3 linked regions of the Coturnix japonica genome follow. The protein of the gene in region 2 purifies or fractionates together with the protein of the main gene of each other region. This does not show direct contact. Links are inferred from orthologs where the notes say so. Each region holds a gene or a part of one and is shown on either strand. Other genes may lie near its edges. The genes, in order: EIF4ENIF1, LSM14A and C1QBP.

Evidence for each region.
Region 1: the proteins of LSM14A (region 2) and EIF4ENIF1 purify together in Homo sapiens (affinity purification with mass spectrometry; 3 studies listed by BioGRID and IntAct, with this or other methods). This does not show direct contact. The link is inferred for Coturnix japonica from reciprocal best matches to the Homo sapiens genes LSM14A and EIF4ENIF1.
Region 3: the proteins of LSM14A (region 2) and C1QBP purify together in Homo sapiens (affinity purification with mass spectrometry; 3 studies listed by BioGRID and IntAct, with this or other methods). This does not show direct contact. The link is inferred for Coturnix japonica from reciprocal best matches to the Homo sapiens genes LSM14A and C1QBP.

Annotation. Positions count from the first base shown.
Region 1 is NC_029530.1:7,960,291-7,963,939, forward strand, and holds part of EIF4ENIF1 (eukaryotic translation initiation factor 4E transporter), read left to right. Parts: intron 1-35; coding exon 36-219; intron 220-886; coding exon 887-966; intron 967-1,313; coding exon 1,314-1,453; intron 1,454-1,622; coding exon 1,623-1,707; intron 1,708-2,617; coding exon 2,618-2,750; intron 2,751-3,440; coding exon 3,441-3,649. UniProt on the Homo sapiens protein: EIF4E-binding protein that regulates translation and stability of mRNAs in processing bodies (P-bodies). Plays a key role in P-bodies to coordinate the storage of translationally inactive mRNAs in the cytoplasm and prevent their degradation.
Region 2 is NC_029526.1:9,453,678-9,457,326, reverse strand, and holds part of LSM14A (protein LSM14 homolog A), read right to left. Parts: intron 457-3,649; exon of another isoform or gene 441-456; coding exon of another isoform or gene 422-440; coding exon 258-421; intron 1-257. UniProt on the Homo sapiens protein: Essential for formation of P-bodies, cytoplasmic structures that provide storage sites for translationally inactive mRNAs and protect them from degradation. Acts as a repressor of mRNA translation. May play a role in mitotic spindle assembly.
Region 3 is NC_029534.1:2,454,121-2,458,167, reverse strand, and holds C1QBP (complement component 1 Q subcomponent-binding protein, mitochondrial), read right to left. Parts: upstream 2,545-4,047; 5' UTR 2,497-2,544; coding exon 2,286-2,496; intron 2,196-2,285; coding exon 2,045-2,195; intron 1,964-2,044; coding exon 1,873-1,963; intron 1,673-1,872; coding exon 1,577-1,672; intron 1,338-1,576; coding exon 1,215-1,337; intron 1,006-1,214; coding exon 856-1,005; 3' UTR 594-855; downstream 1-593. Other genes in the region: ATP-dependent RNA helicase DHX33, read right to left, coding at 3,160-3,468.

The sequences.
Region 1 (3,649 bases), on a different chromosome or scaffold from region 2:
TGTATTCTGAACTTTCTCCTGTTATGTATTCATAGGAACTTCTTGGCCCACCTGTTACCAGACCTGCTTCATCAAATGTCCTAAGTGGCCTGATAAGTGGCTTGGAACCTGGAGCCCCTTTACTGGGACAGAGGGCGCCCTCTCCCCCTATCCCACCTGTGTTTCCAACTCGAGCTGCTTCTGCAGATTACCTGCGCCATAGAATATCTTCACCTATTGGTATGGCTTGTTGCAAAACAGTGTTTCTTTTGGCTTATTTGAATGAGTACACTCTCTTTTAAAGAACGCTTCATAGAACAGTAAGCTTACTGACGGTAGGCAGTGGTAGGACAGTGTTTGCCTCTTGACTGTGTACAACATATCATCCTTGTTGGTCTCTGTTTAATCACAAAAATGTACAAGTCAGCATCAGCTGGAACTCAGAGTAAATTCTGCTGGTGCATTGAAATGTGGTCTACTACATAAGAAGCTAATTTGCATCTGGGTAAGGGTTTATTCTCTTTATAGCAGCTGGCACGGTGCTGGGTTCTAGATATCTAACAAGCTGATAGAATGCTGCTGTAGCTACTGCCGAACAGTGCTTGCGCAGTGTTGAGGCCTTGTCTGTTTCACATTCTGCAGCCCCAGTGATTAGACTGAGGGGCACAGCTAGGCAGATGACCTGAATTAACCGAAGAGTTGCTCCGTGCCATGAAATGCTTAGCAATAAAAAGGAAGAGGAGTGGGTTTAGGAAGGAGGTTATCTTTTGCTTGGGAACTGACTAAATGGGAAGCTGAGAATCTTCACGGGGAATCCTTAATTCAGGTCTAAATGGTTTACTTAAAGTTATATGTCATATACTGGAAGGAAAAGTGTTAGATGCAACTGTTTAATGTTTTTCATTAGGTTTTGGACAAGGTTCTCAGCAATTGCTTGGTGATCCATTTCCAGGTGTGAGGAAGCCCATGAGCCCAGTTGCTGCACAGGTTAGACTTAAGTGCTTTTTGCTTACACGTTAAATTTGCTTAATCTTTCTCCTTGTATTTTGGAGTCCAGAAAAAAACTTGTGGAAGTGTATTGAGTAAACATGTATTACATGCTTGTTCCAGTTAACTCTAAATATGAGAATGTGGCGTCTAATTTAGTACAGTCTCAAAACCTCATTAGACCCGTCTTATGGTATGTTAAGAGCTATTAAGCATCTATTGTCCCTCAGTAAAATAGAGGGCTGTTGGTGGGCAGATGCTTTGTGAAGACACAGCAGTAAATCTTTGTCTTTTTAAAAAGACCTTTGATTTGTGCTGTTTTCTTTTCCAACACAACTCCACTTCAGATGAGTTCCCTGGAAATACAACAAGCTGCATTAGAGGGACTAGCGTTGCCACATGACTTAGCCATACAGGCAGCAAACTTCTATCAGCATGGCTTTGGTAAACCACAGATGGACAAAAACAGAGATGGCTATAGAAACAGGTAGGTATCTGACTGCAAAACATAAAAGGCATATTGTCAATTGTTTTTCACTTGGGTTTTTTCTTTCAGAAAATATTGGTACTATTGTGACTTAAGCTTGCATCATTTATTGGCAATCTTGACTTTTATTCTGAGCCATGAGTAGAACTAACTTCCTGTCCTTCAACAGACAACAGCGAGTGACTAAATCACCTGCACCGGGACACAGAGGGAATACATCTTCTCCAGCCCCTACAGCATCCATTACTAGCATGGTCAGTACCCCTAATACATAATGACTGTAGAGAGAGCTGTAAAGGTAGCAGCAGTAACAAGATCATAGCAACTATTGTCAGCTGAAGGATGTAAAGAGGAGTTGATTGAATCATAAGGGCAATACTGTAATGTCAGTACAAGGATTAATTGCACCTGATGCTTAACTGATTGTCTTCACTTTGAAAAATAGCCTTTTCCAATTAGTGTGTTACCCAAAACTGAGAAAGCCCCATCAGTGTTTCCTTGACCCAGTCTTCTCAAACAAAAGGAAGATAACTATATGGAAAGAGCAGGCCCTTGTATTTTGATGCCCAGGCTTCCAAGAAACAAGGGTTGAAAGTTGCTGGGCACTGTAGAAAACACTAGTCTACAGCACAGGTATGAAATGACACATCTAAATGTCTGAAAGCTGAAATACATTTTTGAAAAACAAAAGCCTCAAATATGACTGCTGCCTCCCCATCTTCAGTAGTATTTTGCTTTGATCTAAGCTTTCCAATTAATCAGTCAAGTGCTTGCAGTTCAGGGCCAGTATAAGTTGTCAGCTGCTAAACAGATGCAAGAACTTTGTATATGTAACAAATAAGTGGCTTCCACAAATGCTATAACTTGTGATGGGAAGAAATACAGTTAAGGCAATTTTCTGTAGATTTGTTATCCATGAGTTAATACAAGTAAGGTTTCAACTAGCTCCATAAGAACCAAAGATCAAAAACTGTGACAAAAAGGGAGAAGAGCTACAGAATGAAGTGATGAAATATTGTGAACCAAAGTAATCGGTGAATTAAGTAACTGATCAAACAGAGCTTCAAATGGAAAGAGTGTACTAGAATTGGTGTCTACCCACAACTAAGGTAGTGTGGCTCTCTGGTAATTAGCACTAACTACTTTTTATTGTGTTTTCTGCAGCTGTCTCCTTCCTTTACACCTACCTCAGTGATTCGCAAGATGTATGAGAGTAAGGAGAAGAGCAAAGAGGAGCCAGTTTCTGGGAAACTGAAAGTCAGTGATGGTAAAGATGAAAATCAGAGGCCAAATGAAGGTATTGTAATGGCTTTAACCTAACATACGTGAGACTCGGAATAGAGTTGAACAGCTATAACACATATGTCCAGGCTGACTTAAGATACCTCTGATTAATGGAGTGCAGACAAGTGTAAAAAATGGATCTATAAGAAGGGTTAGAGAGCTATGAAGTAGGTACACACCTGAGTGTACTATTCCAGCAGTGTTGGGTTCAGACCTATATTGTTCTTGTTTGTAAATGGTACTGACCATAGGAGGCCTGAACAAAAAGTGCTTATTTACAGCTTTTTTTTTTATGAATAAACATATTAACAATAATAACTGCATACAATACTGGCAATAATAAAAGCAACTTATAGCCCTCCTGCAACATCTTAACTGAACAATTAAAGCTGAGACCAGTTAACCTCTTCTAAATGTAGCTGGTTAAGGAAGTGTTTTGTCACCTTAACTGACATAAGTGGCTATTAAGAAGAAATGCTTAATACCGATTTACCCAGTAAGACTTGTTCAGTTGTACTTCAATACTATTAATAACAGAGAGGTAGCTTACAGTCATTCAGGAAAGCCAGAAGTCTCCTATTAAATACATAAATATGAGTAAAGTTCAGCTATTCCTGGAACTTAGCCATTAAAAGTCATTACCTTTAATTTTCATTAGATGTAATCTTTAGCTGTGGACTATAATAGTTGTATTCAATTCTAGCTACAGATAATCTACTGTCTAGTTCTGTGGAGAATGCAGATCAAGAAACTTTGCCCACCTTAGGTACCAAACTACCTGCACTGCAGCGCTCTGCATGTTCCACGCCTCTTACTCAAGCAAATCGTTGCACCAAAGAGCAAGACTACAGGCCTAAATCAGCGGGCAGAAAGACTCCTACAATGGCCTCCCCAGTGCCAGGAGGCCCTTTC
Region 2 (3,649 bases):
CCTTATCAACCAGCTAGTCATTACAAATGTGTTAACTTCTGTGTCCAGTGAGCTGTGCTAGAGATAGACTTCAACCCTGATTTTACCATAGTTAAGAACATGATTCAGAAGAGGAAAAAAAATCATTTAATGGTTCTTTACACTGGTTTGTGAACTTCAACAAAGATCTGATTTTTTAAGCACTCTCAGCTAGAGAGCACTCAAATCTGCTATGTTATATCTTAAGCATCAAATGCATAAAATATATTTTGACTTACCTGAACAATAGCAGGGTCCTGCGGCAAAGAGCACTGAGGCTTTGGTGGCTCACAGACAGTTAAGTCTTTAATATCACTACCACGGAATATAATATACTCAAAGACTTCATCTCGAGGCGGTATAGGTCTGTCCGTTGGTCTATCTTCTGTACCAAAGGAACGAACTGCAAAAATGGAAACCATCCCGCATTTAATTAACATTTCAAATATACCGCAGAGACCACCAATTTTAAATAGAAAGAGTAAGATTTTATTGAGCACAACACTTATATAGGCAGCATACTCTTTTCTAACTTTATTAACTACTCAGACATAAACAAGGAATTTGATCTTGCAAATCTCAGTTCAAATTGAAGCAGAAAGGTGCCTCTTTGGTTCTTTACTAAAGCACAGGTTGCACGGCCATGGGCTGAATATTTCCACTGCTTAGTGAAACCGAGGGGAAGCAACAAAGTGGTTTTTGCTTGTGTTACCACTCTCTGGACATTAATTTTATCAGCAGAGATGCCATGTAGCAACAAAGGCTGGTAAACCAGTCCCGTAAATTAAGGACTATATGAGTTTGTACTTCATGTTACGTATTTACAAACTGGGAAAAAAAATAATAATAAAAAAATCATGCCAGAAATACCAGAAATGAAGATATGAAAGATGACCAAAAGCAAACTTTTTCTCAGTAGATTCAAGATCTGAATGAATATTTCAAGTCAAAGTTAGGCTGTCTGTAGTATGTGTAGACAATTTTCACGAAGCAGAAGGTATTTTGCTTGTTGGTGTAAATTTCACATGATTTTCAGCAAATTAAGTTAACTTAATTTGGCAGGATTATCTTCCTAAGCGTAACAATGCAGTGTGCAGCATACTGACAAGTTACATATATTTATATGTACTTAGCTGACTTCCAACAACGTCCAGATTATGTAATGATGCTCATCATGCTTTTCCCTTCCCACTAAACACCACATGCATACGTGAATAGAGCATCACATTGCTACTTTCTTCAAGGCCCTTCCACACCTTGTGTGACAATCCTTGCTGAAAACAACATGGAACAAAAGACGTGTCTACAAAAGCTGGAGCTTCATAAGCAAAAAGTAATCAGTGAATTGAAAGAAATTAAGAATAAAGCATCAATCAAATTCTACTGAGCATCAACATGCAGCAGCTGCAGTAATTCCTTGCAGCTCTTTGTATTAGCTTTTTAAGAACCTTTTTTGCACTGTAACAAACTAGTGAGAAACAACACTAAATGGTTCTAACTACTAGCTGATACTCATATCTACTACACTGAACTTCCCTATTCCTACACAACTGGAAGCCTGCTCTGAACACTACTACAGTGTTTACAAGCTGTCAAAAGACAGATGCAGGGGGGGGGGGGGGGGAGTGTTTAGGTTGGGTATCAGGAAAACCTTACTTACTGAAAGGGTTGTTAAGCACTGAAATAGGCTCCCCAGGGAGGTAGTTGAGTCACCGTCCCTGAATGTGCTTAAAAACCTTCGGATGTGGTGCTCAGGATCACAATTTAGCTGAGTTGCTAGTTGGGGTATTATGGTTAGGTTGCAGTTGGACTTGATGAACTTTAAGGTCTTTTCCAACCTGAGCAATTCTATGATTCTTTTAGACTTCTACAAATATTAATTTGCTAAACGAAGCCAGTAAAAGCTTAAACTCCTGCAAAGACCTGAGCATTTCCTTTAGTACAGGAGAGCACAGAAAAGGAAAGGGGTAGATTTTATTAAGTTTTTAAGAAGTTGTTTTTCAGGGTCAGTTAAGGAACAAACTGCACACACGTTATGAGGTTTATCTGTGCCAAGATCAACTGTGTGTGCAAAATGAAACCCACTCATGGCTACCTCCCCCATATCTTGTCTCCCTGTTAATGCTCCTATGAGTACAAGAATGCAGACTGAGTTAATGTTCCAATGGGTATGAGCCCACTATAAGCTGACTCCTTCACATTAATCTTACTGCATTAATGGTGTGCAGCCATCCAAGTATGCTACAGAGAAAAACTGGTGAAATTTTGGGTAGAGATAATTGCAATGACTTGTTCTGGTAATGATAGCCTTCCATCGGTCATCAAACATACCACAGACCCCTTAAAAGAGAAGAAAGGCTGACTTCAGTATTTACATGATACACACAAAGTAAGGCTGGTAAGACTGTCTGAGTGCTGTATGCAAAGACTGATTAATTACATGTTTGCAATAATTCACTTTGCAGAAGAACAGAGCCCTTTTTTGCAAGTAGAATACACAAATTCATTAGTGAAGTATTTTTTCAGGTGTTGGATTTTCTGCTGACTGACAGGGGAAGTTACAATGATCACATTGGATAATGAAGTAGCAATAATACAGTAAGACGTATTAAAGTATGCTATGTAGTAGTAATGTTGAAGTTAGTCAAAATAAGTTTCAATATATGACTGCTTTTTTGAATGGATTTACCAGTCCGTTTAAATCTTACAAGATGACATTTTTAATGCACTTATTTTCATTTCCTCTCACTCTTCTACATTTTGCAAAGCACAGTTTGCTCTTGCACGTGTCATCAAACTATGGATAATACTATCACAGCCAGCTGAAAACACCGGAATACTAACTGCTTATTAATGAAGCATGAATTTAGTATCTATTAATTATAATGGCCCAACGCAACTCCATACAAAGTCCCAGTAGCTGATAAGTGAAAACTGATGCATTACAGCAGGAAGATAGCATCTCATTTCATCATATTCACATCCCTAAGGATTCCCCAGTTACCCAGCTGTCAGGGAACAAAGCCTGGTTGTTCTTACATAGCTTACTTACCTACGTTAAAAATCTCTTTCTAAGTCAGTGTCTTGAAATAGAAAGATACGTATTACCAGCTTGAAAGATAACAACTACTTTCTTAACACTGCAACATATGAGATAAACAAAACCCAGCCATGATTACATGATACAACTGCTCACAGGCAGGGCAGAACCACTTTTCAGAAAGAAAACATGACCTTGTGGTTCCCTGTCAGCCCACTCCAAAAGTCTGGATCCAATGATTGTTTTTAAAAAAATAAAAATACAGAACTGAAAGGACATTTCAAACTAATTTAATTTGAAAATTGAGAATGAAAGGGGTTTATTTTGTGACTAAACACTACATTCTGAAAACTACAAATCCAAAGGAAACATGTGCATCAATACTATATAAAAGCCTGAAACAGTTGTGTAATGCAATACTTTAAATTGGAGTTTTTATTTATAAATAGTAATAGACTCAAGCAATTTGTGAAAAGATGCGCTGCCTTCCATTATCAGTCTCAACATTTTTTTAGAGTTCCTATATTCCTTTAACTCACAAGAAAAGCTACAACTTTTGCTACAGCTTAATGGCTTTGTAAACAAAATTAA
Region 3 (4,047 bases), on a different chromosome or scaffold from region 2:
GCTTTGGACTTCGTGTTTAACTTCAGGTCCATGACAGTGTTTTTAATGTATCCTTCTGTTCTAAAAGCAGGTTCCTCCTTACAATCTTACCCACTACACTCAGGACTATTAAGTATTGCCCTGGAATCAACAGGGAGGTTGATCAATAGTCACAAAGTATTCTGCCTCTTCTCGTTGTTCTGTCCTTGGCTGCCTTCAAGCTGAAATAAGAGGCAGCTCTTTAATGCATGGCTGCATGGTGCGGGAGCATCTCCTGCTCTGCCACTGGGGCTGACTCAGACCTTGAGGCATCACCTGGACGCAGCAGGTTGAGTAGAAGCCCAAATCTGCTGCTCTGCAATGCTGCTGATGTTCAGCATCCACAGGACTTGAATTACTGCAAGGAAAGAGCTCCAACTTGTCTGCAGTATTTTTCTAGAGCAGATGCGTTGATACTAACAGGTACAGATGGACTAGATTGGGCTAGAATAGCCCTGGAGAAAAACTGGCCTAACACTGCCCAGCTCTGCAGGCAGCTGCATTAACTTCTCAGGTCAGGGAACACACAGATATCCCTTATGGCAACTGATCAACATGAAGAAAAAAACAACTACTTTTCAGGGAGTTTTGAACACATTTTATTATTCACCTTCATTCCTAATGGTACAAAATGCAGCAGGGGGAGGCAGGTCCAGACAGTCCTGTTTGAGAACCTGAGCTGGGCTGCAACGTAGCATAAATACAAGTGAGGCCCCTCACTGTCCCGTGATGCTCAATTCCCAATTCAGTTACTCCATCTCTGTTGTGAAGATACGTTGTGGTTCTGCTGGTGGAGCACTGCTGTGTAATGCCCACACTGAACGCTGCTTTCCTTCCCTACTGACATTTAACAAAGCTTTTAAGGTCTTCAAGGAATTTAATGTACTCCTGATGCTCCAGCGCAGTGCTGAGCTCAATTAACTCATCAGCAAACGTGTTATCCACTCCTCGGTCAGCCAGGAAATCCATTAAGTGATCATACAGAGCCTGCAACAAGGAACAGAAAACAGCCTTAGCAGAGCACAGCTTCAAATCCTACTTAACTACTGCAATACAATTAGGCTTGTGGGCTCCCCCCTTGTTCCTCATAGAGCTGGTGCTCCTGCTTGGTGCCAATAGCTGCCATATCACCTCCAACAGGGTGAGCAAATGATTCATGATGGAATAGGAGTACAATGTAAATCAGCAGCACTTACCCAGTCGAGGGAATCCGTATTGAGGGTGTAGTTGGTGTCCTTCCAATCTGATTCCCCGGTGGGCTGGAAGCTGACCTCCCTAATGGTGAAGATGTCACTTTCTTCCTCTCCCTCGTGGCCAACCTGAAATAGGAAATGAGGCACAGGATGTATTAGCTGTAATTAGAGGGAACCATCAGCTGCTTCATCCTGCAGGTGGGAACACAACCCCCTTAATGCCACACATTGAGCTGATCAGAAGGTCAGGACATGAGCAGAAAGAAACCCATCCCATCAGTTTCCTTACAGAGATAAAACCTGTGTGAGGAGAAAAGAAGGAGGCAGCATTTTGTGCAGACACAGGAACCCAGAGCACAGCTCACCTCATCCTCGGGGTAATGGCAGTCAAGCACGAGGGTCTGCTTTGTATCATCCTTAATGACTTCCACAACAAAGTTTGGAGTCGATGTGATATCGGGCTGAAGGAGAGAAGCAGCCGATCAGTGCTGAGGGCTGAGCAGGAGCCAGCACAGCCACGAGGTGCCCGCAGTGCTCAGCAGGGGGTGGGATGGTCCATGGGGGTCTCCCAGGGCCGTCCTGCTCTGTGTGTTCCCACTCCCAAAATCAGACTGAGCACACGGCGGCCCTTTGTGGTCCCCTGGCTCTGTGCTGTGCTCACCTCCTCCTGCTCCTCGTGTTTCTGCTCCTCCGGCGCGTCCTCATCCACAGCGGGCGGGATGCTGTTGTTGATGTTGAAGGTAACCGTGATCCTGCACAAAGGACACGAGTTAAACCATCACAGCCGGGAAGGCCCCGCTCGCATCGCTCCCGTTCGTTATTTCATTGCTCACTTTTCCCCGGCGACTTTGCGCACCAGCCTCGCCTCGGTGCCGTGCACCTCCAGCTCCCACCCGCCCGACACTTTGGGCAGCGCTTTGTGCTTCTGGATCTTCCGCTCCTCCTGGATCTCATCCGTCAGGAACTGAGCGAACGCTTTGTCCCCTGCGGGGAGAGAGAAACCGCTCAGCACCGGCACCACCCCCCGCATCCACCCCCACCTCCATCACCACGTGCGGCTCCGTCCCGACTCACCCTCCGTGTGCAGCCCGCCGCAGCCGCAGGACACGCCGCCCGCAGTTCCCCGGCGCGGTCTGAGCAGCGCCGCCCTCCAGCCAACAACAACATCGCTCCGCTGCCACAGGGAACGAGCCGGGAGCGGCTGCGGGACGGACCAGAGCGAGCGGAGCGGGGACAGAGCGGGGCGGAACGAGGCGGCGGAACGAAGGGCTCGAGCGAGCAGCATGGCGAGAAACGGGACGAGGAGGAGGAGAATGACCCGGACGGGATCGGGGCGCTTCCGGAGCTCCGCCCCCGGTAATAAGGGGAGGGAACGAGATACAACGCGGAGTGACCTTGGGGGAGAGACCAGAAGGTTCCAAAGGAGGAGCCGGGCGGGGGGAGCCGCGCTGAGCAGCGCTCCGAGCGGACAGATGAGGCACCTCCATTCTGACAGTGAAACAGCACTTTGATTTTGCTCCTTGTATGTAGAAATTTATTTATTTGTCTTTATTTTCCATCGGTAAAACCTGCCCGGAACACAAACTGAACCATCAACAAATAGAGAGTTTGCTGCAGGAGCTGCTGGGCTCGTTTCCTTCCAGCCCCATCCATTACAGCTCAATGTTAAACACCAGCACAAAGCAGGTCCCGTTTTACACAGCAGCTCTTAACACCACGATGGTTCAAAGCCACAGGTTGCCATGAGTGCTGCCTCTCACAGAGAAGCCATTTTCCTCCCAGTTTTACACCTGTTTGCGATGCAAAACCCCGCTGTCCCTGCACAGATCACAGCCCAGCCCTGCACTGAGCCCTGCACTGAGCCCTGCATTGAGCCCTGCACCGAGCCCTGCATTGAGCCCTGCACTGAGCCCTGCACTGAGCCCTGTATTGAGCCCTGCAGCCCCACTCAGTTCTTGGCTGCTCTGAGTTTCCTGCGGAAATAGTCAGGTGCTGCATCATACAACCAGTCCGCGTCCACCACGCACAGGTCCCGCATGTAGCACTTGTTGGTGTGCAGCAGCCCGTTGTAAACCACGCAGCAGGGTTTGCAGTGGAACAGCACGGACGAGGGGTGGATGGCCACGGGCTGGTGGGAGCTGACGGTGCTGTAGGTGCCGTCCGGCTGCAGCTCGGCCGCGTTCATGAAGAGGCTGTGAGCCAAACAGCGGCGGATGTTGGAGGTGTCGGAGCGGGACGACTCCATGGGCAGCGATAACTGCAGGGACACAGACACGAGGCAGCAGGTCACAGCGTGCAGCACAGACACGGGCATCCCAACACATCTAACACTGCGAGCACAGCTGAGCCAGGAAGCACAGAGCACTTCCCTGCACTCCCTTTGACAGCCTCAATCCATAAGACAGGGACCATAAGCCCTACAGCACTGAAGCACTGCCCCAGCTCCACTTGCAGGCTCTAAGAATCCCTCCTGCTTGTGTGAAGGCAGAGACGGGCTGTGCCTGGGTTGGATCCATGCCCTGCAGGGAAACCCGGCACACTCCTAAAGCTCCAATGGCACTGAGCCCATCCTACACACCCTCCATCATCAGGGGCCTGGATGAGCTGGAGGCCACAGCAGCAGGTGTCTGCATCTCTGCATCACTGCAATGCAACACAACACTCACTGCCATTTGTTATTTGTTCCAATTGTATCAACCTGCGCTTGTCTGAAGGTGGGCAGCTGTTCCCACAGTGTTCTCATGCTGAAGAACAAGTGTGTGCACACCAGTGGGGGAACAGCCCCCTGCAATGGGCTGCTGAGAGCAGGCAAGGTTATGTCCTAAATGCAGCTGGC